3 linked regions of the Diceros bicornis minor genome follow. The protein of the gene in region 2 purifies or fractionates together with the protein of the main gene of each other region. This does not show direct contact. Links are inferred from orthologs where the notes say so. Each region holds a gene or a part of one and is shown on either strand. Other genes may lie near its edges.

Region 1 (7,088 bases), on a different chromosome or scaffold from region 2:
GGTTCAAAACTGACTTGTAAGTAAATCCTATTTTAGATGTATTAGAAATGCTCATTCACTACTGAAAAATGAATCAGTTAAATCTTTTCATACAGTAAATTATCCAGCTATAAAGAAAATTTCAATTTAAACTAGAAGCCAGATGTGCTTAGAGAAAAATTCAAACGCCCTTGAGTTTCTCAAAACATAGTTTGTTTTAATAGTAATTAAGTCACAACATCAGTACTGGCAACATAACTATTTAACGAGTATGTAGCTCAGTCTGTGAGTTATCAAAAAGCCTCAAGTAACTGTAATTTGACCTTTCCACTTTACTATCTAGCACCCAAAACACCGACAGAAAAGATGATATGAAATACATTTGTTATTTTGTAAAATGTCCATCATTACAAGGGAATTTTTCAGTACTTACTAGCCTAGTCTATAATCTCTGTAATAATAATTACATTACTTTCTCCTTTATAATGATGGGGGGGCGGGGGATGGACACAACTAGGCAACGTACAGCAGTACAAACCTATAGACAGGAGAGACCCATCATGGTTCAGGCCCTCAAGGGACTTATAAACTAGATTTCTATTCTTTTCAAATACACTTGAACACTAGAATCTAATAATCACCTCACAACTAAGCTGGCTGCTACTCAGTGCCTGACTTTATATTAATGCCTTTGAAAGAAATACTTTTCAGTGATTAAAATATAAATATGTATACTAAAATGACTCTGTGTAAAATATATCATTAATTAATTAATTACATCTTCTGATTCCCATCCTCGAAGAAAACAGATTCCTAGGAATTCTGAAAATTAAACCATTCAGGCATCAGCCAGATTGACAGGATTGTTTACTGCATTAAGAGGTTTTAAAGATACCTAAGCCTCAATTTCAAATAGAGTGGCAAAAACTAAAACAGATGGCAGACACAGAACCAGAAGATACTAGCCTTGGGGCATGTTTATTCTGTTACATACTTGAATATAGCTACTTTATAATTAAAATACTTTTGTTGCTTGGTCGATGTTGATAAATCTATAACTTCAATCATTTATAATAAACCACACTTGTTCTTCAAAATAAAAGATAAGCAAAAAGTAGAAACCCACGATTAGTGCATCTCTCAATTTCAAAAAGTCCAAGAAATTCAAATAAAATTCCCAATACAGAAGGAGACAGAGAAGTAACAAATCTAAAAATGTTTATGATTTTAAACTCCCCCAAAATGTAAAATAAATCATTAAACAAACAATTAAGATAATTAAGGCCTAAATGTCATCAGTTTTCGTCAAGTTATTTCCCACAGTCGAAATTTCAGCCTAACAGTTACTATCTCAACGTTTTAAGTACCACTATTAGGTGGCTGGCTAAACACTGTAAACATTTTTAAATGATTTCCTCAAAATTAAAGATGCTATGCTGGTGATTTGTTTTTTCCTTTCCACCCCAATCTTACTGAAGGCTGAATTATTCCCTCTGCCGAGACCCTTTCCCCATACGTGCACACACGCGCACACGCACACACGTGTCCCCCTACACAGAGTCGGTACCCTGTGCTGCGCGGAGAGCACACAACAAAAGGCCGACTTGCAGACAGACCCCCCGGTGCGACCTGGAAGGGCCAGATACTGAACGGCAAGATTGCGGGCGTGGTCGGCTTCGGAGGGGCGCTGCCCGGCCTGCCCTCCCCCGCTTTCGCTTTGTGCTCACAATGCGGCTCCGCGAGCTTCCCTCTCCCCGCCGCCGCCATGTTAGCCGCGCTCCATGTGCCCGGGCCGGCGCCCCTCCGTCCCCGCACCGCCGCACCTCCCCAGTCGTCCCCGTCGCCCCCCGGCCCTCTCCAGAGTCCCGGGGACAAAAGGCCGCTGCAGACACGCTTCTCGGGGCCGGGCCGAGCGCGCGGCTCGGGGGCACCTAGACAATTGGAACAAAGAGGAACACGCAGGGGCGCCCCTCGGATGGGGGCGGGGAGCAGATCGAAGACGCCCCAAAAGGGCCCGATGGGGGAAGCGGCTCTGGTTTGGGACCCTGAACACGTCCGCCCGTCTCCCAAGAGAGAGGAGCGGGCAGGCCTCGAGCGCACGGGAGCGGCGCGGTCAGCCCGGCTCCACGAGGCAGCGCCGAGCCCGAGCCCGCGGCCCCCTGCCGCCCCGGCCCCGCACAGCCCACTCCCCGACCCGAAGGCCGCCCCGGCAGGAGGAGGAACGGAGGCCCGGGCAGCGCCGCGGCCGGGCAGCTGACAGCGCCGCCCCGGGGCCCGCTTTCCGGGGACGGGAGAGCCGCCCGGCCCACCCCTCCCGCACCTTCTTCTTCTCCAGGTTCCGCAGCTTCTTGTCGATCACGCCGAGGATCTGCTTCATGGCCTCCGTCTGCACGGCGCCCGTGCCGCTCGCGGGGTGCTGGGCGGCCGGCGCCGTGGCCCCGGCCCCCGCCGCCGCCTCGCTGCCGGAGGAGCCCGCCGGGGGCGGCCCGGACGACCTGCTGCCGCTGCCGCTGTGGCTGGTGGCCGAGGGCATCTTCAGACGGCGAGGGAGACGAGAAAGAGCGGGAGGAAGGACGAGAGGCCGGTCAGGCGGCGGACGGGGCGAGACGCGGGACAAAACGCGCGGCGGAGGGCGGCTGCGCGCTGGGGGCGGGGACGGCGCCGCGGGGGCAGGAAGGGACGCGGCCGCGCGCCCCCGCCCGGCCACCCCCCGGCACCGGGACCCGCGCGGGGCGGGGCCTCGCCGCCGGCCGCCAACGGCCAGCGCAACGGTCCCCCGGCGGGGCCGACGCTCGCCGCCGTCCGGGGAGGGACGCAGGGGCGGCGGGGGAGGGGCGCGGCGGGGGAGGGGCACTGGGCTGACGGGGGCAGGGAGACGTGAGGGGCGAGCCCCCGCCGGGAAGGGACCCGGCGGCGGCCCCCGCCCCGCGGGCGCCTCGGCCGGCCGGCGCTCACCGTGCGCGCGCGGAGGCCGCTGGCGGTCCCGAGGGGGCGGGCGTGGCGCTGCGTTCCGGGCAGTGTCGCGCGCTCCGTGGGCGCAGGCCGCGTCGCGCTGTGCCCGCTGCACCGAGAGCCCCTGCCAGTGAGGCGCAGAGTCGAGCGGGAGGGAGCTCGCCGCCAGCCTCGGCGCGGAGGGCGGGGAGCGCAGGGGCCCTCGCGGGCGCGGGCTGCCCGGCGCGAACGCCTGCGGGGAGGCGCGGCGCGGCCCGGCCCGGCCCGGCCCGGCTGCCCCTGCCCGGCCGCCGCCCCGGCCCGGGCCCTGCCGCGGGGGGCCCCGGGGAGGCTGCAGGAGTGGGGTCTGGAGCTGTGAGCGGAATCGAAGTGAGGGTCCTTCAGGCGAAGTCGCTTGACGTCCAAACGGGGACAATAGGTGTCAAGCGGCTGGCTGTGGAGCTGGCGGCTGCCCCGAGAAGGGTCCTTACGTGGTGGGGGCGGGGGTGGGGGCAAAGGTCCCCGCCGGTGAGTGGTGCGCGAGGCGCTGGTGCGAACCCCGCTTCTAGAATGCCTTCTGGCTGCGGTCAGGTGGCCTCCCGCCCTGCACAGGGGCCGGTGCAGAGCGCCCGCTCGCCGCTTCCCCGCGGACACTCACCTGGGAGCTCCCTGTCGAACGCCTTGGAAGGAGCAAGATAGGTGGCATTTTGAAAGTCTTAAACCTCCCGACTCGTGTTAAAAGTAATCTTCAGCTACCGTAAGATGACATTTATCCAAGAGGCCTGAGGATTACGGATTAGGGTTTTCTTTCCTTTTGTTTTAGATTTTCCTAAAACTTTTAAGAGAATGTTGAATAAAATACAAAAGAAAATTTCTTTTGCTCCAAGAGAATTATTCGAGCCTTATAATTAACCTAGGGGCGGGGTGGGTGTGGACAGAAAATGAACCAAGTGCTGGAAGGAAATGTATTAAAGGGAGTCGTTAGCGGAAAACTCAGCGGCATAATGTTGTATGACAACAGTAAATGAGGGATTTACAATTGAAACTCCGTGAAAAGGGGATTTCGAAAAGGATGATACTAAACCCGCTGTTCCTTGGGGAAGAAAATGAGTAATACTGGTTGGCAGCAGTGTACCCTGAGGGAGCCTGGAGAAACAGCAGCGGTCTCCGGCCTCAGGACAGTCCGGTTAGCTGCAAAGTCGGTTATCGATTCATTCGAAGATTCCTTGAGCCCCTTACTATGTCTTAGGAGCTCTTTAGTGCCAGGGACTGTGAACAAAACAAACACCTCTGTCTTCATAAAGCTCACATTCTAAGTGGGGAGAAGATAAGTAGGTACGTGTCAGATAGTCAAGTGGTAGAGAGAACAGACGGGGTGGTCAGGAAAAGGCTTACTGAGGACATGTAAGCCGAGACTGACGGAAGTGAGAAGACCAAGCAGGTATCTTGGAGGGAGAATTTTCCAGGTGGAAGGAACACCAGGTGCGAGGAACTGAGATGGGAGTGCGCTTGGTGGGTTTAAGGAACATCGAGGAGGCCGCAGAGGCTAGAGCAAAGAATAGGAGCTGAGGTCAGAGACGTGAAAGGGGGCTGGCCTTGTAAGGCCTGGTAGGTGGCTGTAGGGCCTTGGGCTTCTGCTGAGTGAAATGGGCAGTCACAGCGTGCATAGCTTTAGCAGAGGAGTCACATGATCAACCTGTGTTAAAGAAAGCCTCTTGCTGCAATGTAGAGAATTTACTGTAGTGTGTGTTAGAGATGAGAGGAAGGGTGGAGAAGAGCAGGAGCTGGGGCCCAGTTAGGAGGCTGTTGAAATAATGCAGCCCAGAGATGGTGGTGGCCAAGGTCAGGGTGTTCACAGCAAAGGTGGGGACAGGTGGTTGGTTGCTTTACACATTATGGTAGTAGAACCAACAGGATTTGCTTAGCAGTTGTGTGTTAGGTGAGTGAGAAGTCAAAGCTGACCTAAGATTATTCAAGATGGAAGCACCTGAACTGTGTTTAGTGCTGCGCTAGACACTCTGCTAAGCCTAGAGGCTAGAAAGGAGGATTAGAATCCTTTAATTCCTTGCAGGTCTTAGTGTACTCAGCCTGACTACTGTCACTTTCAGAATCTCAGGCCCCACCCCAGACCTACTGCATTTTAACAAGAGCCTCAGCTGATTTGTATGCACGTTGAAGTTTGAACAACAATCTCTGCTTTATTCCTTAGAACTTGACCAATGTGCTTAAGACCAGACATGAAATACTCTACTAAGCAAATTTTCCCCAGACCTGCAGAATCAGAAACTCCGGGGGTGGGGCCCAGCAATCTGTGTTTTAACACGTCCTCCAGGTGATTCTGATGCACGCTGAAGTATGAGAACCAATGACTTGGAGACCTCTTATAATTAAAGTTTGAGCTGAAGAGGGCTTGTGATAAGGTGTGAGAAGGAGAGGCCTCTTCTGCCTTTCCTTGACTCGTTACACAGTAGCAGTTACCAAAGCATAAAGCTAAGTTAGGCTTTTCTTCAAGGAAAAAAGAAAGATTATTGAGGGAACGTGGTAGCTGACAACACGGATGACAAAGATCCTCAGTCGGAAGTCCGTCTCACAGCCCACAGTGTGTCAAGACACGCTAGGTTATGTTGCAGTAACAGTCCTGAGAGCGCTGTGACTTCAAACAGGGATCTGCAGACCAGAGTCTCGGGGCTGAGTAGCCCTCCATCTGTTTTTGTAAATCAAGTTTTGGGGACACAGCCGTATCCATTAATGTACGTATTTTCCATGGCCGCTTTCGTGCCACAGCAGAGCAGAGTTGAGTAGTTGTGACAGAGATGGTATAGTGTGAAAAACCTAAAATACTATTACACACTTTACAGAAGAGGTTTGCCAATCCCTGGCTTAAAACAACAAATGATACACATCCATCCATCTGAGGGCTCTGCTCAGAGTAGTCACTAAGTAGATTCAGGCTGATGGAGAAACCATATCTCAAGTGTTGATGATTACCATAAGGAAAGAGAACTGGGGAGTATCTCAAGTAGTCGATTAAATACTTCAAACAGGTAGAATTGCATCATGTGCACTCACACCTCATTGGCCGGAAAGAGTCACATGATCCCAGCCAACCAAGAGATGCTGTCCTATCAGATGCCTAGTAGGAAGCTAGGTGAACCGGAAACATTTGGTGAACATACATAGCTGTTGGGCTCTCACTTCCTACAATATGTCATCCCATCTGGTTTCCTTGGTGTTCTGACGTTCTTGCAGTTGTGTGATCAGGTCAGCAAGACCAGGAAGACTAATCAGTTTAAGGCAAAGTAGTGTCTTTAGTCTGACTTTCTGCCCAGCCCAATGCCATGGTCCCAGCAAACCAAATTTGTCTATTTCCTGTCTGACAAAAAGGGGACTGAAGCTATGTTTATGTGAATTTTTTAATACTTTACTGTAATCATTTTTTTTTTTACCTTTTTTCATAATCCAAACCCATGCAGTAGCTTCAGGTCATTGTATCACTGAAGAAATAGGAAAATTAAAGGGTTTTCCTACAAAACCAATAGGAGAGCAGAGTACATCTATAAATGAAAAACACTTTCTCCAAAAACCTTGGTTTTAAAGTTATCCCCAATGTTAACGTGTTGTTTTTTTTTGGGGGGGGGGAGGAGAGGAAGATCAGCCCTGAGCTAACATCCGTGCTAATCCTCCTCTTTTTGCTGAGGAGGACTGGCTCTGAGCTAACATCTATTGCCAATCCTCCTCCTTTTTTTTTTCCCCCAAAGCCCCAGTAGATAGTTGTATGTCATAGTCGCACATCCTTCTAGTTGCTGTACATGGGACGTGGCCTCAGCATGGCCGGAGAAGCGGTGCGTCGGTGCGCGTCTGTATCCGAACCCGGGCCGCCAGTAGTGGAGCGCAAGCGCTTAACCGCTAAGCCAGGGGTCTGGCCCCTTAACGTGTTTTAATAACACAGATCTCCCAAGCTGACGTTTGCTTGTTTAACTCATTAGACCACAGCACTCTAAGTCTCCACAGTCAAGTGAGTGAGTAATTGAACTTCTTATCCTGATCATGTTGGCAAAAGAGTTCAGCTGCTTCAACTTGAATCACCCAATAAGCTAACATTGAGTATATTTGTAGCTAAAGAGGGGACCTTGCATCTGAATTCCATTCACTGCCTCTCTGCCAGGTTGACAGTGAGA
Region 2 (7,716 bases):
TTCACCAGAAAAAAAAAAAAAAAAACAGTGGTAGAAATAAATGATAAATGTTAGTTGTGAATTAAGCCTTATCTTTTCTCAAGCCCCAAAGGTAAGGAGGCAAGTTTTGAAGTCTAGAAGCTATTAAAAGTGACCAAGCATTAAGACACGGAAATGCTGTCCCACAAAAATAAAAGCATGTATTTATATTATGCTTTAAAGTTTAACAAGTAACCTACACATTCCTTTATCTCCCTGAAATAGGTAAGTTATTAGCTTCATTTACAGAAAATGAAACCAATGTTTAGAGAGCCTAAGGAAAGGAGTTCGAGGTCCCCCAGTTATAGTTATGAGAGAGAGGGTTTGAAATCAGGTCTCCTGCCTCTAGTGATGTTTTCACTACACCTGGTTAAGAACAACTGCTTTGGAAGAATAGCCAGGGACACAGAAATACAAAAAAACTTTAAAGTCCAACTGTAAGCATACTGATACTGTTGGGAGGAGCCAAAAGCACAGAACAGGAATGTAACAGGGAATCCAAGAGAGTCATACTACAATACCACAATCCATACTACAATCCAACATAGCTACCATGGTATATCAAAATAGGGTAAAATCTCCAGAAATTAAAAGATAAAAATAAGCTGAGGCAGCAATCAAGAAACTGATTCTACTGCTTCTGAAGCCAGTCCAGAGTTCTGGGAAAGGAACCAATTTGTTTTATCAGCTCTTAAGTTTCCACAGGGAGATTAACTAAGTTATGTTTGTCAATTAAATTCTACTGAATTTAAGTTCAGAAACAACCCTTAAGTTTGTACCTCTCAAAACCAGCCTTAAAAAAGGGTCATTCCCCACCTCCATACCCACTCAGCAAAAAATGCGGTAAAAAATCTTATTTAAAGCAACCTATGAAAGAATTTTCAATCCTGATAATGGTTAATCAACAGCAATAATTCTGCAGCATAAGGAAGCTGTTAAAAAACTAAAGGCACTATTAGTACTTATAGATTTCCAGTAACTGATATCGAAATTTTCATTTTTGACCTCTCAAGTGAAATTCCTGCTACCAACAGTGCCGATACTATTCAAAATCAAGAGTTGTCTTTTGACAAATCAACTGCTCAGCTGCTAACTAAATACTCAATTCGACTATCAAACTATTCAAGACTTATTTTTTTCTCCTTCCTTCTGTACTTCTGATCCCCATCCACCCCACAAGCATTCTGGTTCTCTTCACTCTCAATACTTGTTCTTCATTGACCAATACTTCAACCTCAAATATTCAACAACCTGAACCATAACAGCTCTTAGATAGTACGCAATCCACTGGAGGTCCTCATCCTCCCTACAATTCCTTAATAACCTTTCAAAATTAAACAGCCTCTAGAGATTAAATAACACAAGGATACACATGACTAATCCTAAAAATTTAAGAAAATAATATCACCAAAGAAACAACAAAATTCAGTTCCAAGAAGTTCAAACTAATCCTACGGTCCATTTTTTAACACCAGGAATTTTGGATATCAAAAGGACCACTGAATACTAACAGGGCCAAATGTTTACTTTGAAACTTCGTTCACACGCCTAAAGCTATATGAACTGCCAAATATGGAGCTGAACAAGGAATTCCTATCTTCTTCCCCTCCAGCATACGGGGCTTCCTAACTGCCGTTAATGGTTCACAGATCCAGGTACACGCAATGCTAACATTTGGACGACTAGCACGAATTGTGGAGCCCTGAACCTAAAAAACCAGCATTTTAACTGAAGTTAATATCACAACAATCATATGGGGGGGGAAAGAGGAAACAACTTTGCTATTATTCCAGCTTTGGTGCACGTGGGTTTTGTTGTTGTTTTGTTTTAAAGAGAGCAAAGGCACGGCACCTCCCTTCCAAAAAAAAAAGAAACCTGTTAAGAAAACTAGATATACCTTAGAGGAAAAAAACTGATCTATGCGGAAAATGGTTGATGCAAATCTATATTTGCTCCAAAGCGGCACAGGGACATCTTAGGAAATCTGCTTATAGAGAAGCAGGTAAAATTCCATCATATTCGACTAATAAAATCAACACAATTCAGGGAAGCGTATATTCCTCCTCTTGACCATCCTTTCTGTTCCCCCCCAAAAAAGTGGAGAAAGAGGGAAACAAAAAAACCCATTTCCCAAAGCACTCAAACATCTTTTCGATTCCTGGGTCAATAAGGGAACGTTTGCATAAAAAGGGCACGAAGAAGGCGTTACGTTATATGTAATTCGGATCTCTGAGCACGTTCGGGATAAACCCGAGGGGAGTCGAAGACCACGGACCACTAGATACTGGATAACCAGAGCGGCGACTACCTTCAAACCCGGATTCTGTTTCGGTGCACAGAAATGGTGCCCGGAGGCCGCTACTTTCGCATCTGCGTCGCTTCTGCCTCCGCCGACACAGCCTCTTGTCCCCTCCCCCACGGGCGGGGCGGCGACGGCCTCTCCGCTCCCAGGGAACCGGCAATAAGAGACGCAAATGAGTCGGAAAGAAGGCTGGTGGGCTCCACACCCTAAAACATCCTCTCCAGAAAACCCACTCCGCACGTCCCACATTAAGCCTGCATCAGCGCGCCTTTGGGAGCCGCTGCGTCCCCCTTCCCAGCTCGCCACCTCATCCCCAACAGACCCCGGCCCCACCTGTGCCCTCAGGGCCCTCCGTCCGCACAACGCGGGCCGGCCGCTTCCCTTCCCACGCGGCCTCCCATCCTTCACCTGAGAGGAACGGCTCGGCTTCTCTCAAGCACACACGGCAGCGTAGGCAGCCGGCAAGAACAATGTCTCGCTCTGCCGCAACACCTCTGACAGCAGGGCTCACGGGACGGTTGCCTCGAGCCGCGGCGCGCGAAGGGAATGTCCCCTTCCGACCACCACACCGACCTCCCTTCCCGGCCCCCGTACACACCTCCAACCAACAGTGGGAGGGGGTACGTCGGCGCCGAGATCAGCAGGAGAGTCGCCGAGGACCGGCTGCCGCGGATTCTTCTCGCTTGCCGCCTCCCCCGTCCGCCAAACCTCAAGCCTCGGAAGCCGGAAAGCCGCGAGCTCGCTTCCCTTACAACCACCTCTTCCCGGGGGCCAGACGCTGCGGCGAGCGACAAGGAACACGGACGTCCCGCCCCCTTTTCCACCGCCCCCTCTTATTGTTTTACCCCTGCCGAAAGGCCTGGGGAACCCCCCAGCACGGCTTCAGCCAATCACACATCTCCTTCGCGAGCTGGACCCAACCTTCTCGCGTCCCTCTGCGAAGCACGCGCAGAACGCCGCCGCGCTCACGTACTCTCGCGCCCGGAAAGTCGGGGAACCGGAACCGGCCTCAAGCCGGGGCGAGAGTCCGCTGATTTGACGTCACAAGGGGGCTGCCTTTCTACTGCTCCTGCCTCGCCGCTCTCGAGATCGCGCGTGAACAGGAGCCGGTTCGCTGCTGCGCTGTCTTTTGGAGACCGATATTTCTGGTTCCTTTTGATTATTAATGTGATGAGGGAGAGAATTTAGTAATTTTCTTTCTGAACTAGGCGTCTGCAGGTTGCTGCTGTAGACAAGCATAAAATGCAGCCAGTGGTTTCAGCTGTTTGCACCCTAAACTCATCTATAATTGTTTATTAACCCGTCCTAGGATATGGATGTTTTAAGTTCCACCGAGAAGGTCAAATTCATCCTAACAGCTCAAAATAATATATATTACAGGGCCTACTGGGTGCTAGGCCGTGGGATGTAGAGAAAATAGGACGTGGCCTCCACAGAAGGGAAAAAGTCTATTTCTTTGCCCGTTCTGTACTTAGGTGTTGCTAAATACATACTAAGCATTTTACATACTAAGGCAGCTAAAAGGCTGAAATCCCAGGAGATACTGGGATTACAGCCCTGTCCTAGATCTAGGCCCAGGCTTGGCTCCAGGGTATAGCTGGGAAGACACTAGACACTGACTCTCCTGACCTTGATTCATGGAAAAAGCCAAATCGCCTTACAGTCAAGGAAGCCACTTTGCACCTTAGTTCTGGCAATGTTTCTCAGAGAATATCAAGACAGCAGAGGAATTTTGGGAGGAAATGGTGAAAGAAGTGAAAGGGCAATTAGGAAAGGAAATAGAACACATTTATTAAATGCCCATTCACCAAACATAGTGTGGGCATATGTATATACATTTCATTTGTTTTCTTCATAATCCTGTAGGAGCAATTTTAAGGTATTTTTCACATGTGAAAACTGAGGTTTACAGAGGCAACGCCAACATCTGAACCTCCAAAATTTACATTGTTTTTACCTTAGGTTGCTTAATCATTTTGTTATATGCAAAATATATGGGCTATCACTTTTATGAAATGAAATTTGACATGTTTTTCTTTAAAGCATCATAATACATTACATACAGATTGTCCTTTAAATCTGTTACTTATGTACCAGGCACTCTTTTACTTATGTAATTGTTTGAGCCTCACAATAACCCTATAAAGTCGTTACTATTTTTATGCCTGTTTTACAGATGAGGAAACTGAGACTCAGAGAGGTAAGTAACTTGCCCAAGGTCACAAGCTACTGTTTGGTGGGGCTGGGATTCAAACACAAGCAGTCTGCCTTCACACGCCATGCTGTTAACCACAAGCTATAAAATACTCTTATTGTGTTAATTGCCACAACTTATTTATCTCCTCTACTGTTGATGACATTTCAGTTGTTTCCAGTTTGGGGCTCTTATGCGCACCATGTCTCCTGGTGGGCAGGTACAAAAGTCTCTAGAGCAGTGGTTCTCAGAAATTAACGTGCATCAGAATCACCTGGAGAGCTGGTTAAAACACGGATTTCTGGACCCCACTCCCACTCTGATTCAGCAAGTCAGCGTTGAGGCCTGAGAATCTGCATTTCTAACAGATTCCAGGTGCTGCTGCTGCTGCTCTAGGAACCACACTTTAAAAACCACTGAGGGGGGACCGGCCCGGTGGCGAAGCAGTTAAATGCGCATCCTCCGCTGCGGCAGCCTAGGGTTCGGATCCCTGGCGCGCACCGACACACCGCTTGTCAAGCCATGCTGTGGCGGTGTCCCATATAAAGTAGAGGAAGATGGGCACAGATGTTAGCCCAGGGCCAGTCTTCCTCAGCAAAAAGAGGAGGATTGGCAACAGATGTTAGCTCAGGGCTAATTTTCCTCACACACACACACACACACACACAAAATAAATAAATAAAAACCACTGAGGGGCCAGCCCGGTGATGTAGTGATTAAGTTTGCATGCTCCACTTCAGCGACCTGGGGTTCACGAGTTCGGATCCCAGGTGTGGATTTACACACTGCTCATCAAGCCATGCTGTGGTGGCATCCCACATACAAGATCGAGGAAGGCTGGCACAGATGTTACAGGGACAATCTTCCTCAACGAAAAAAGGAAAAAAAAAAAGAGGAATATTTTCCTCTTTGGAACAGATGTTAGCTCAGGGCCAAGCTTCCCCACCAAAAAAAAAAAACCCTGATCTTGGGCTGGCCTGGTGGCGTAGTGGTTCAGTTCGCATGCTTTGCTTCGGCAGCCCAGGTTTTGCAGGTTCGGATCCTGGTCACGGGCCTACACCATGCATCAAGCCATGCTGTGGTGGTGTCCCACATACAAAGTAGGGGAAGACTGGCACAGATGTTAGCTCAGGGACAGTCTTCCTCACAAAAAAAACCAACACTGATCTATAGCATGGGTTGGCAAACTTACACCATAAAGGAGCACATAGTAAATATTTTACATTTTGGGGGCCACAAATGTTCTCTGTCACATATCCCATCTCCCCCATTTTTTAATCCTTTAAAAATATAAGAAATATTCTTAGCTTAGTTCTAGGACTATACAAAAACAGGCCTCAGGCAACTCCTGCTCTAGGGTATATACCAATAAGTGGAGTTAATGGGAAAAAAGATTCAGCTACTTCAAGTTTAGTAAAAAACCCTAAACTGTTTTCCTAAGTGGTGATTTTTACTTCCTAAATGTCTCTCAAGTCTGTCCCCTCTGAATGACTCTCCATACTTAGAGGCTCTGCTCAGGTTCAAGCCTCTTTCATCTTTCCTGAATGATTACAGTAGCCTCCTAACCAATCTCCCTGCCCTTTAAAGATAACCTCCATGAAAGAGTGCCTCCCCTAACGCTGTAAAGCAGGGAGACCAGTATGAATTGTATTCATTCCAGTGGTTCAAGCCAAAAACCTTTAAGTTACCCTTGACTGTCTTTTTCTCACAGCACACAGCCAATCATCAGTAAATTTCTGTTCCTCTACATTCAACATTTATTCTGAATTAAGCACTTATCATTTTACTGCTATTATTGTAGTCCAGGCCACCATCACCTACTGCAACAGCCTTCTACTTGGTCTCCATGCTTCCACTCTTATTCTGCTATAGTCTGTCCTCACAGCGACCAGATCCTTTACAGCTATAAATCAGATGACATTCTCAAAACCTTCCAAAGGCAACACAATAAAATCCCAAGTCCTTACCGTAGCCTACAAAGGCTACTTGATCTAGTCCTTACCTATTACTTGCACCTCTTTTCTTACCACTGTTTCTCTTATACACCCCAGCTCTACTTTTGACACTCCAATCACATTCCCAACCCAACATGGGCCTTGGATGTGAGCCCTTACCAAAAGTCTGTGAAAAATCAAAGTAAACTGTATCTACTGATTTCCCCAAGCACTTCTATTCAAATATCTCACTCATCCATTCTAAAGGTTAAGTTAGGTATGATTTTCCTTACACAAACCACCCTTCTTAGAATTGCAATTAACCTAATACTGCTTAAATAGTCTACTAGCTTGTCTAAGCTGTATTCTGTGGTTATTTTGTATTCTCTATATATTATGTAGTTCCTAGGTTCTCTTCTACATTGTTTTTTTTTTTTAATAAATATAAGTCAAATGGTAATCTACGAGTTGTCTCACAGAGCATCTACTTACTAATAGCTTACAGGATTCTTTAAAACTCCTGGATTCATTCATTCAGTAGCCACCGCTGAGTGCCACTGTATCAAGCAGAGCACTAGGCTCAGGATGAGGCAAAAATAACTGAAACATAGTGTCTTCAGGGAATTGGAAAAGGGAGGGAGGGAGGGAGAGAAAGAGAGCAAGAGGAGGAAAGAGAAAAACAGAAAAAGACAAGAAGACATAGAAAAAGAGGGAGAGTCAAAGAAAGACAGTAGGGAGACAATGACACTAGAGGGTACTGCCAAGTGATATTACACTGGGGATACCGAAGAGCACTTTGTACTTCTCCTTCATAACACTGATTGAATTTTTAAATTTATAATTTGAATTTATAGTTTAAAATATCTGATAATCCCCCCCATCTCTTTTGAGTGCACGCACACGCGTGCACACACACAGTGTAAGCTCCATGGGAGAAGAACTCCTGTTCGCCTCTCCGATCCAGCACCTGGTACTGGCCCACTGAAAGTGCTCCCTAAGGTGCTCCATAAAGTGGCTGAGTGACCAATGTGAGACCACAGAGGGAGGCACAACAGTCCTTCTCGTGGGCTTCTAGTATTTTTGATATTTTTGCCCTAACTTCTAGAACAGAATATGATTTATTTTTATTCTTTTTTTGATTAATAATAATAGTTTTTAAGACTGCGGATTTTTCCTTGCCTATAGTTTAGGCCACATCCCACAGGTTTTATTCACTACCTTTGTATTCTAAATAGTTTGGAAGTGTAGTTTAGATTTCTTTGATTCAG
Region 3 (7,783 bases), on a different chromosome or scaffold from region 2:
CTTATTTTGTAAAGATATTGCTGTGTCTATGTTTACATGAGGCCAGACCCAAATGTCTCTGGGTAACAACATGTGGAGTGGTTTTATTTTGAATGTCCCAGCCTCATACCCATGGCTGGCCTCCTGTCCCACCGTACCTCAGGGAGGGCGCGTGCACCGACCAGCCAAAGTCCGCAATCTTCAGCTCTCCCTGGAGCCCCAAGAGCAGATTCTCTGGCTTTATGTCCCTGTGAATCACCTTCTTCCCGTGGCAGTAGATCAGAGCATCTGCCAGCTCCTCCATGATCTGGGAGGGCCAATGACAGGCGATTAGACAAGGATGGACCTCTAGCTGCAAGCAGCGTACCCCTAGCCTCAGGCCCCCTGCCGGCGCTCCAGGTGCCCACCCGCCCCGACCGTGGCTGTTCGCTGCTCGTCAAAAGTGCGGCTCTTCTGCAGCTCCTTGTAGAGCTCCCCCCGGGGGGCATACTCCAGAATCAAGTAGATCCTTCGCCGGTCGTAGAAATAATTGTAGAGACGCAAGATGTTGGGATGCCTGGGAGAAGAGACAGGAGGGCTGAGGCTGCATCCTGGCATAAGGAAATGGGAAAGATGACAGGTCTCATATGGGGCAAACTGGGGTCAGACGTGGGCCAGGCCGGGGACACGAGGGCTGGCCCTGGCAAGGGGGACGTGGAGACAGCTCTCTGGATTGAGAGCTCAATGGTGCTAAATGGCCACAGCTATAGGGAAAACTCTAGATGTGGTGGGGTTGAAAGAGCTGGGGGGAGGGAGCAGGGGGCTTGGGCTCAGAGGGCGTTGGCCCGTACTGCAGATGGGCCTGGATTTCGATCTCCCTGCGCAGCTGGTGTTCCACGCCCTCCTTCTCTATCTGAGACTTGAAGAGGACCTTGAGTGCCACGATGAAATGGCTCTTCTTCTCCCGAGCCAAGTACACATTTCCAAACTTGCCTTTGCCCAGAGGACGCCCAATCTCAAAGTCATCAATCGTGAAGGACCGCCTGATTAGAGAGTGGGGGGAAGGCAGCTGAGCACTGGTTTGTGGGTTGCCTGAGGTGTTTGCTTTCCCCCTGCCCTTCAGCTCCATTTCTCTTTGAAGGAAGTTGAGAATGGATCAGGCTTTCTTGCCCCCGCCCCCACACCTCCTGCCCTTAGCTTCTCCCTCCCTCATCTCCTACCTGTTCACTGTCTCCCTCTTCTCTTGCCGCCCCAAGGCTTGGGCACTTACATTAACAAGTTGGGCGTCCCACTGCTGTTCTCCACCACCTTCTGGCCAAGGGCAGCTTGGAAAGAACAGTTAAGTTGAGGCCCTCCCTTGACATTTTCATCCCTGCACCCTCCCCGTAGACTCTAGTCCTCTCAAGTCAATCCCCTCCCCGCTGTTGCAGTTACCTGTGGGCTGGGCATTGGAGCGGCTCATGAGGACAAGTGCAGATGGGGTGACAGGCTCCTTCCGGAGGACTCTCTGGGGCAGGGTGTTCAGGCCAGACTGAGCCTGAGAAGGAGCAGGAGGGAGCTCTGAGGGTGTCTTTGTCTCAGCGGCCGGGTTGGAATGTGCTGCAAGCAGCATTTCAGTGCTTTCTATAGAGCCACCCACCCACCCATCCCCACCTCAAAGAGGAACACTGAGACAACAATTTTGCTACTCAGCCCCAAGACTCTGCTCAGAGCCCCATATTAAAATGGGTTCTTAATAAACAACATAAGTTGGCCCAAGATAAAGAGCAAAGGACTTAACGCAACACTGAACATTTCACCTCTTTGGCCCTGGCCCACACCACATTCTCAGGCATGAAGCTGTCCAACCTCTGTAGTCCTGTCTGCAACACCACTCATTTACCCAGCCCCCACCCCTGGGGGCTGCAGAGGGCTGGGGTAATGAACACCCACAATTCAAGGTGCTAAAGCACAGAGGCATTCTCATAGCCCCTAAAAAGCTCAGTCTATTAAGGCTTACACAGGGTCCTTGAGGCCTTGAATGTTGCAGCAAATATCAGTATGTACCCCTTTGCAACATCAGGCTTTAGGGACGCTGAAGGCTACTGTGATGGCCTTGGACCACTTCTCACATTCAACTTCTGAGTAATATACATAACTTCCTTTTGGGAGTGACCGAGGTAGAAGTGACAATGGTTTCTCATTCAGCCTCCACTCTTGATAGCCTCACTCAGTGCTCCACAAGGGAGGGAACTGGTGGACACAGCGACAGACGGATGCTACGGGAGATCTAAGCCCCACCAACAGGGAGCAAAGCCTGTGCAGGGCCCCTTCTTTCTTCTTTAGCCAAGAGGGGAAGAAAGCCTCAGTGCCCCTTCAAACCTGTTCCCAAAGAGTGGTATTAGAACAGAATTTACAAATAAGCAAGTTGAACAAAATAGAGTCCAGAAACAGACCCACATATATGTGGGAATCTAATATATATAAAAAAGGTAGCATTTCAAATCAGAGGGTAGACTCTTCAATGAAAGGTGTTGGGACAACTGGAAAAGAAATCAATTTAGATCCTTAACTCACACCAGTCATTAAAATAAATTCCAAATTATTTAGACTTGTCTTGAACCTGTTAAACTTATAAGTTTATCTCAATCCTTCACGAGTCTATTTCTATGTCCTGCCTAGCCTATTTTTTTCAGGACAAAGGTTGGGAATCATGGCCTGAAGGCCAGACCCTGCCTGCTCTCTCCCAGATATCATTTGTATATGACAAGTAGGCTCAGCCCTGCAGGGGTCCTCACAGGCTGGTCAGATTCGAGTTGGCAGCACCTGACAGGATGTGGCTGCAATTGCCCAGACTGGGTTCGGCCAGCAAACTTTTGGGGCCCATACGTTGGAGCATAACCGAGAAGAAAGTGCTTGGAGGATCGCCCTCTGCAGGACCTCGAATCTGGAAGTAGGAACTCGCCATGCCGGTTTGGGGGGAGCGGAAGTGGGCATGCCCTTACCGTCTGCCTGCCGTAGGGCCAGGGGTAGGCGTTCTCCTTCTGGGCCATCCTTAGAGGGAAGCGGGGAGGAGAGCTGGGCAGAGAAAGGAACAGAACCGTGAGAAGCAGAAAAAAGGGAGCGAGAGAGGGAGGGGTCGGACCCATCTAGTCGGAAGCGCTTGCCTGGGGCTGGTGAAAGGGAGCAAGTCTACACGCTGGCCACATCAGGGCGCACCCGGGCGCTCGCCTGGCCGCCCCCGCCCTGCTACCGGCCCAGCCCCTTCCAGGACCCTCTCTCCACCCTTGAGCGCCCAGCAGCCGGCGGAGTGCGCGGGCCCGCCCAACGGACCCCCGACCTGCCTGATCACCTGCCCTCTCCCGGCGCAAGGCCTGCGAAAGGAGGGCAGCTCACCTGGAGCCCGTGGCACAGCCACTCTCCTGGCCGCTGGCAAACGACTCGCCCTGCCCAGCCGCGCCCCTGCCGAGTTCCTTTCAAATCTCCCGCCCTGGTCCCATTGGCTGAGCGGGCCGCCCATGTCCAATCCTCATTGGCTGGATGTCCCATGACGTAGCCCGCGGGGCCCCAATGGAAGAGACGAAATGCGAGCCGCAGCCAGCTCATGTTCCGGATTAGAAAAGTTTCCCTTATCCCACGATCAAATATTCTCATATCTTTCAAAAAATTTTTTGAATTTTAATATATCTGGAATCTATCCTTGTGTATGTATGATCTAGGGTCTAACTTTGTTTTCTGCCAGATGGAGAGCCAGTTATGCCAGCACCATTTGTTAAACAAACGACATCATTCCCAGCGGAATTTAAATGCTACCCTTGATATATTGTCGTCGTAGATAGTTGGATCTATTTCTGGACTCTGTATTCTGTTACATTGTTTGTTTGAAGGTATGTTTATTCTTGTGTCATTAATATTTTGTTCTGTAAAGTCTTTCACTCACTTTCCTAGTAGGAATTTTCCGTCAGCGGTCCTTTCTCTGCAGGTCCCCTGACCAAGGCCGCAGTGTTTGGACCGACTGTCACTTTTCTCCTTCCTGCCACGCTCCCTTCTTCTCTGCTCTTTCCGAGCCCAAATTTTATTATTGGGTTAAATAAATACATTTTGAGACGTTCTATGAAATAACTAGTGGATATTTGCAAGTATTGCCTGTCCAGTATCCTTCCTATTACTTTGAATAATAACACCCTAACTTTGCTTTAGGGCAACCACCTGTCTGCCTGTTCTGTGTTGTCGGTTTCTGTTGCTACCGGCCCCAAATCCCTAACTTGATGGGAGACCTATTGTGGTGGACACTGTGGTTCCCTACCCAGCGTCCATTCTCCCAGCGATTCCTACTTCCTGAAAGCACCTCAAGTTTTGGGTCTCAGAGGGAAGCTGACTCCATCCCAGGTCCAGGAGTGGACCCTGTCTGATTTACAACAGTCAGCACCTTTTATGCCAGGATCATGGTCACTGGTTCGGGGATAAGCATGTGAATTAAGTGGGCCAGTTAGTGGGAATTTTAGGATTCTTGTCCAGAATGCTGAGCAGAAACTCCTTTTCTCCTGCTGGAAGTGGGCAAGGAAGCATGCAGCCCTCATTGTTGCTGGTGGTGCTCCTGAAGGGAGCAGCCTGAGAATGAAGCTCACATTGCAGAGGGGAGAAGAGAGGCCTGGGAAGAACCCGAGACTTTGAGGACATTGTGGAGCCTCTGGATGCCTATTTCAGCACTTTCCTTACATGAGCTAATAGATTTCCTTCCCTAATGCATTAAGAGTTCTGTTATTTGCTGTCAAAAGCATACCGCTAAACTAAAAGATAAAACAGCCAGTTATTTTACCAGCAAAATGGTTTTTTTCAGGAACAGCAAAGTATTGCAAGTTGGGACAAGCAAGCTATAGCAAAAGCCATAGGCAAGGCCAACAATCAAAGAAGAGGAACATTATTTTATAAGGAAAAAGGAGGAAATTAGGAGGGGCTGTTTTGAATGCAAGTCCATTAGAGAAAAACAAAAGTTCAGAGTGATGATGGTTTCTCATTGGCTGAGTTGCTCCGTAGTCGATTTCCGTTTGGGATGAAATGTTTATTTCTTTGGGTAGAGGTCTGTGATTGATGATTTTTTCTGTTAGACTTCTTTCTGTTGGGGTCTGTAATTGAGATTCTTGCCTGTACTTGTACTTGACCTTGAATGGTACTGCATGAGAACTCCCCCTTCTGGCTTCCAGACTCCATTTTAAATGAGGTTTCCCTTTATTAATTTTCACAATACTAACTGACACACATCTACAGACCTAGAGTGTTCTTAGTTATTTAGGTTGAATGATGTGAAATTGCTGATAGTCAATCATTTTGACCTACAAAAGATACCAATTTCATATGATTCAACCAAATGTAAATCAAATAAGTCCTTATGGGTTTCCAGATCAGTTCATAATGCTTTTGGCTGCAAGTAAAAGAAAACTCAGTTAACAATGGCATAAACAATAGGGATCTATTTTCTTTTCCATAACAAGAAATCAGAAAGTTGGTAGTTGGTTAGGGAACAATGTTAGAGATCTGGATTGGCCTCTCTCTGATTCTCTTGACATTTCCCTTATGAGTGCAAGATGGCTGCCAACTGTCTCTGTCTCTTTTATCAGGAAAAGCAGAAACCTTTCTACAAGTACCCAATAGATTTCTCATTGGCCAGAATTGTGTCACATGACTGCTGCAAAGGAGGCTGGTAAAGTGAGTGAGGCTGGTAAAGTGAGTATCTCTTCTAGCCACTATGGTTAAAGCAGCAAGGGAGTGTGGTGGTAGGAATACAAGTGTGCCGCAATTGCTTATAATTTCATTCTGGGGACCCCATGATTAATTTAAAAAGTCAGATATCTGTGCATGATGAGGTATCTTCAGAGATTTGATGATCATGGCCACCCTGCTGCCATTTGTGAAAAATCATTTTACTTCTGGAGGTACACTGTTTTCCCTTAGGGTCAGCTTAACCCCACTTCCCAAGATCAGGGAGCCCATTTCGACTGCGGCACCTTTATCTACATACTTGGCATAGAGGGACTAGCCAATGAAGAGCTTTATAAAAATTCTATCCCTTGCAGTATACTTTATTCCTCAAGCCCTAGTGAAGGGAGACTTTTCTGGAACCTATAAGGTGAAATAGTACATGGGTGGGATATACCTGATTGATCCAATACAGTATCTGTGTCCCCTGGAGTCTTTAAATTCTTGCTTGCACATTATGTTAGAAGATATTTGGCCTTTCAGGAATATTTGATGGGCCAGCATAAAATCAGGATTTGCATTACTCATAAAAAACCAAACCAAACAAAAACTATCTGTTCTATCAGCTAGGCAACTATCAGCTGCCTGTTCAAGTCAGTGAACAAAACCTCTGTTATTTACCCCAGTGCTTCTCAAACAATCCGTGGGGAAGGACCAGTCTTGATTATTTTCAATCTATCACAGATCAATAATGTTATAAAATACACTAAAAATGAATTCCTTGAAAAACGAAATCTAAAAAATATAAAAATTACAATCCCACATTTTTTGGTATAATCAACGTATATAAAAGTACTCTGACAAATGCTGGAGGAGTTTTTAAATGCTTACTCTCAAATTCTAAACTCATCTTGGACTTGAAAGAGACAGTCCATGAAGCGGCACCAGTCTGTGGACCACACTTTGAATACTACCAGTCTACATCCATAGCAATAAATGCGGCCCTGCCCCAAATTATGCTTTGCTCTCCTTGGTCAGGCACACTCAAAACCCACTCTCCTGCGGATATTCCCCGGGTTTATAATGATGTAAATTAGCAATTTCCTCTGAGTGTAATTCTTTTGTTTTTTCCTCTTGCTTTGCTTTTTGCTTCCCAGTTCATGTTAGATGTGGATTCTGGCTACTGGCCAAGTAACAATGAGAGGTATCAGTGAGGGGGGATTGTCACTGTTCTCCTGCCAGGGCTGAATTTTCCTGTGACTGGGAAAGGTCAGAATGTTTCGTGTTCCGAAGGTCAGGCAGGATGGCTGGGATACTATAATGTTTGTGAGGCACAGATGTCAGCCTCTTTTATTTCTGACAATGGGACAACTCAAGAAGAAATTTCAAGACATGAATTTTCATCATCAGCCAATAAGCCCCTTCCAGGGATGAGGAGTAGACTCAGAAGGGTCTGGAAGGGGCTTGCTGGGGAAGCCTGGCTAATACCTCCACGTCTTCCCACTAAGTTGTCCTCATTAAGGTAAACCTGAGGCAATGCTGCTGAATTAAGTAGGGTGCCCTCCATCCAGACTTCCCTGAGCCTCCCCAGGTCAAACATCATTGCTGGGGTTTGCTCCTGGCTATTAGGTCCCAAGTGTTGGTCGTTGGTACAAACCACAAGCCTGGACCAAATGCGTCCCTGCCACAATGGCTGAAGCCTGAGGCCCTGCCCAGGTCCATTTATGTGTCCTCAGAGATTGGATCAGCAAGGCCAGTGCCCCTTGCCAGGTGACCAGACAACAAGCCTGTACCCTATGCCTTTGAGGCATTTTTTAAAACTTTTTATTGAAGTATACATACAGAAAATGTATAGCTGGATGAATTTTCCTAAACCGAACAACCCTGTGTAACCAACACCCAGATCAAGAAGCAGAATGTTTCCGGCACTTCAGGAGCCCCCTCATCCTCCTTTACCAGTCACTATCTTTCCCAAGAGTAACCACTATCCTGACTTCTAACCCATATACTAGCTTTGCCTGTTTTGACCTTTATACAAAAGACCTTCATACAGTATGTATTCTTCTGTCTGACTTCTCTCATTCAACATTATGTTTGTGAGATTTACCCATGTTGTTGATGTATTGATTTTTAAATATACATGAACATG

The links. Proteins that work in one complex are often made in the same cells at the same time.
Region 1: the proteins of G3BP2 (region 2) and CAPRIN1 purify together in Homo sapiens (affinity purification with mass spectrometry; 5 studies listed by BioGRID and IntAct, with this or other methods). This does not show direct contact. The link is inferred for Diceros bicornis minor from reciprocal best matches to the Homo sapiens genes G3BP2 and CAPRIN1.
Region 3: the proteins of G3BP2 (region 2) and AURKB purify together in Homo sapiens (affinity purification with mass spectrometry; 3 studies listed by BioGRID and IntAct, with this or other methods). This does not show direct contact. The link is inferred for Diceros bicornis minor from reciprocal best matches to the Homo sapiens genes G3BP2 and AURKB.

What each region holds. Positions count from the first base shown.
Region 1 is NC_080770.1:34,299,830-34,306,917, forward strand, and holds the start of CAPRIN1 (caprin-1), read right to left. Parts: upstream 3,007-7,088; 5' UTR 2,935-3,006; intron 2,513-2,934; coding exon 2,300-2,512; intron 1-2,299. UniProt on the Homo sapiens protein: mRNA-binding protein that acts as a regulator of mRNAs transport, translation and/or stability, and which is involved in neurogenesis, synaptic plasticity in neurons and cell proliferation and migration in multiple cell types.
Region 2 is NC_080747.1:61,142,354-61,150,069, forward strand, and holds the start of G3BP2 (ras GTPase-activating protein-binding protein 2), read right to left. Parts: upstream 3,002-7,716; 5' UTR 2,919-3,001; intron 1-2,918.
Region 3 is NC_080757.1:10,205,472-10,213,254, reverse strand, and holds the start of AURKB (aurora kinase B), read right to left. Parts: upstream 3,007-7,783; 5' UTR 2,991-3,006; coding exon of another isoform or gene 2,943-2,990; intron 2,320-2,942; 5' UTR 2,018-2,319; coding exon 2,005-2,017; intron 1,558-2,004; exon of another isoform or gene 1,496-1,557; coding exon 1,393-1,495; intron 1,284-1,392; coding exon 1,179-1,283; intron 1,002-1,178; coding exon 810-1,001; intron 536-809; coding exon 397-535; coding exon of another isoform or gene 387-396; intron 287-386; coding exon 138-286; intron 1-137. UniProt on the Homo sapiens protein: Serine/threonine-protein kinase component of the chromosomal passenger complex (CPC), a complex that acts as a key regulator of mitosis.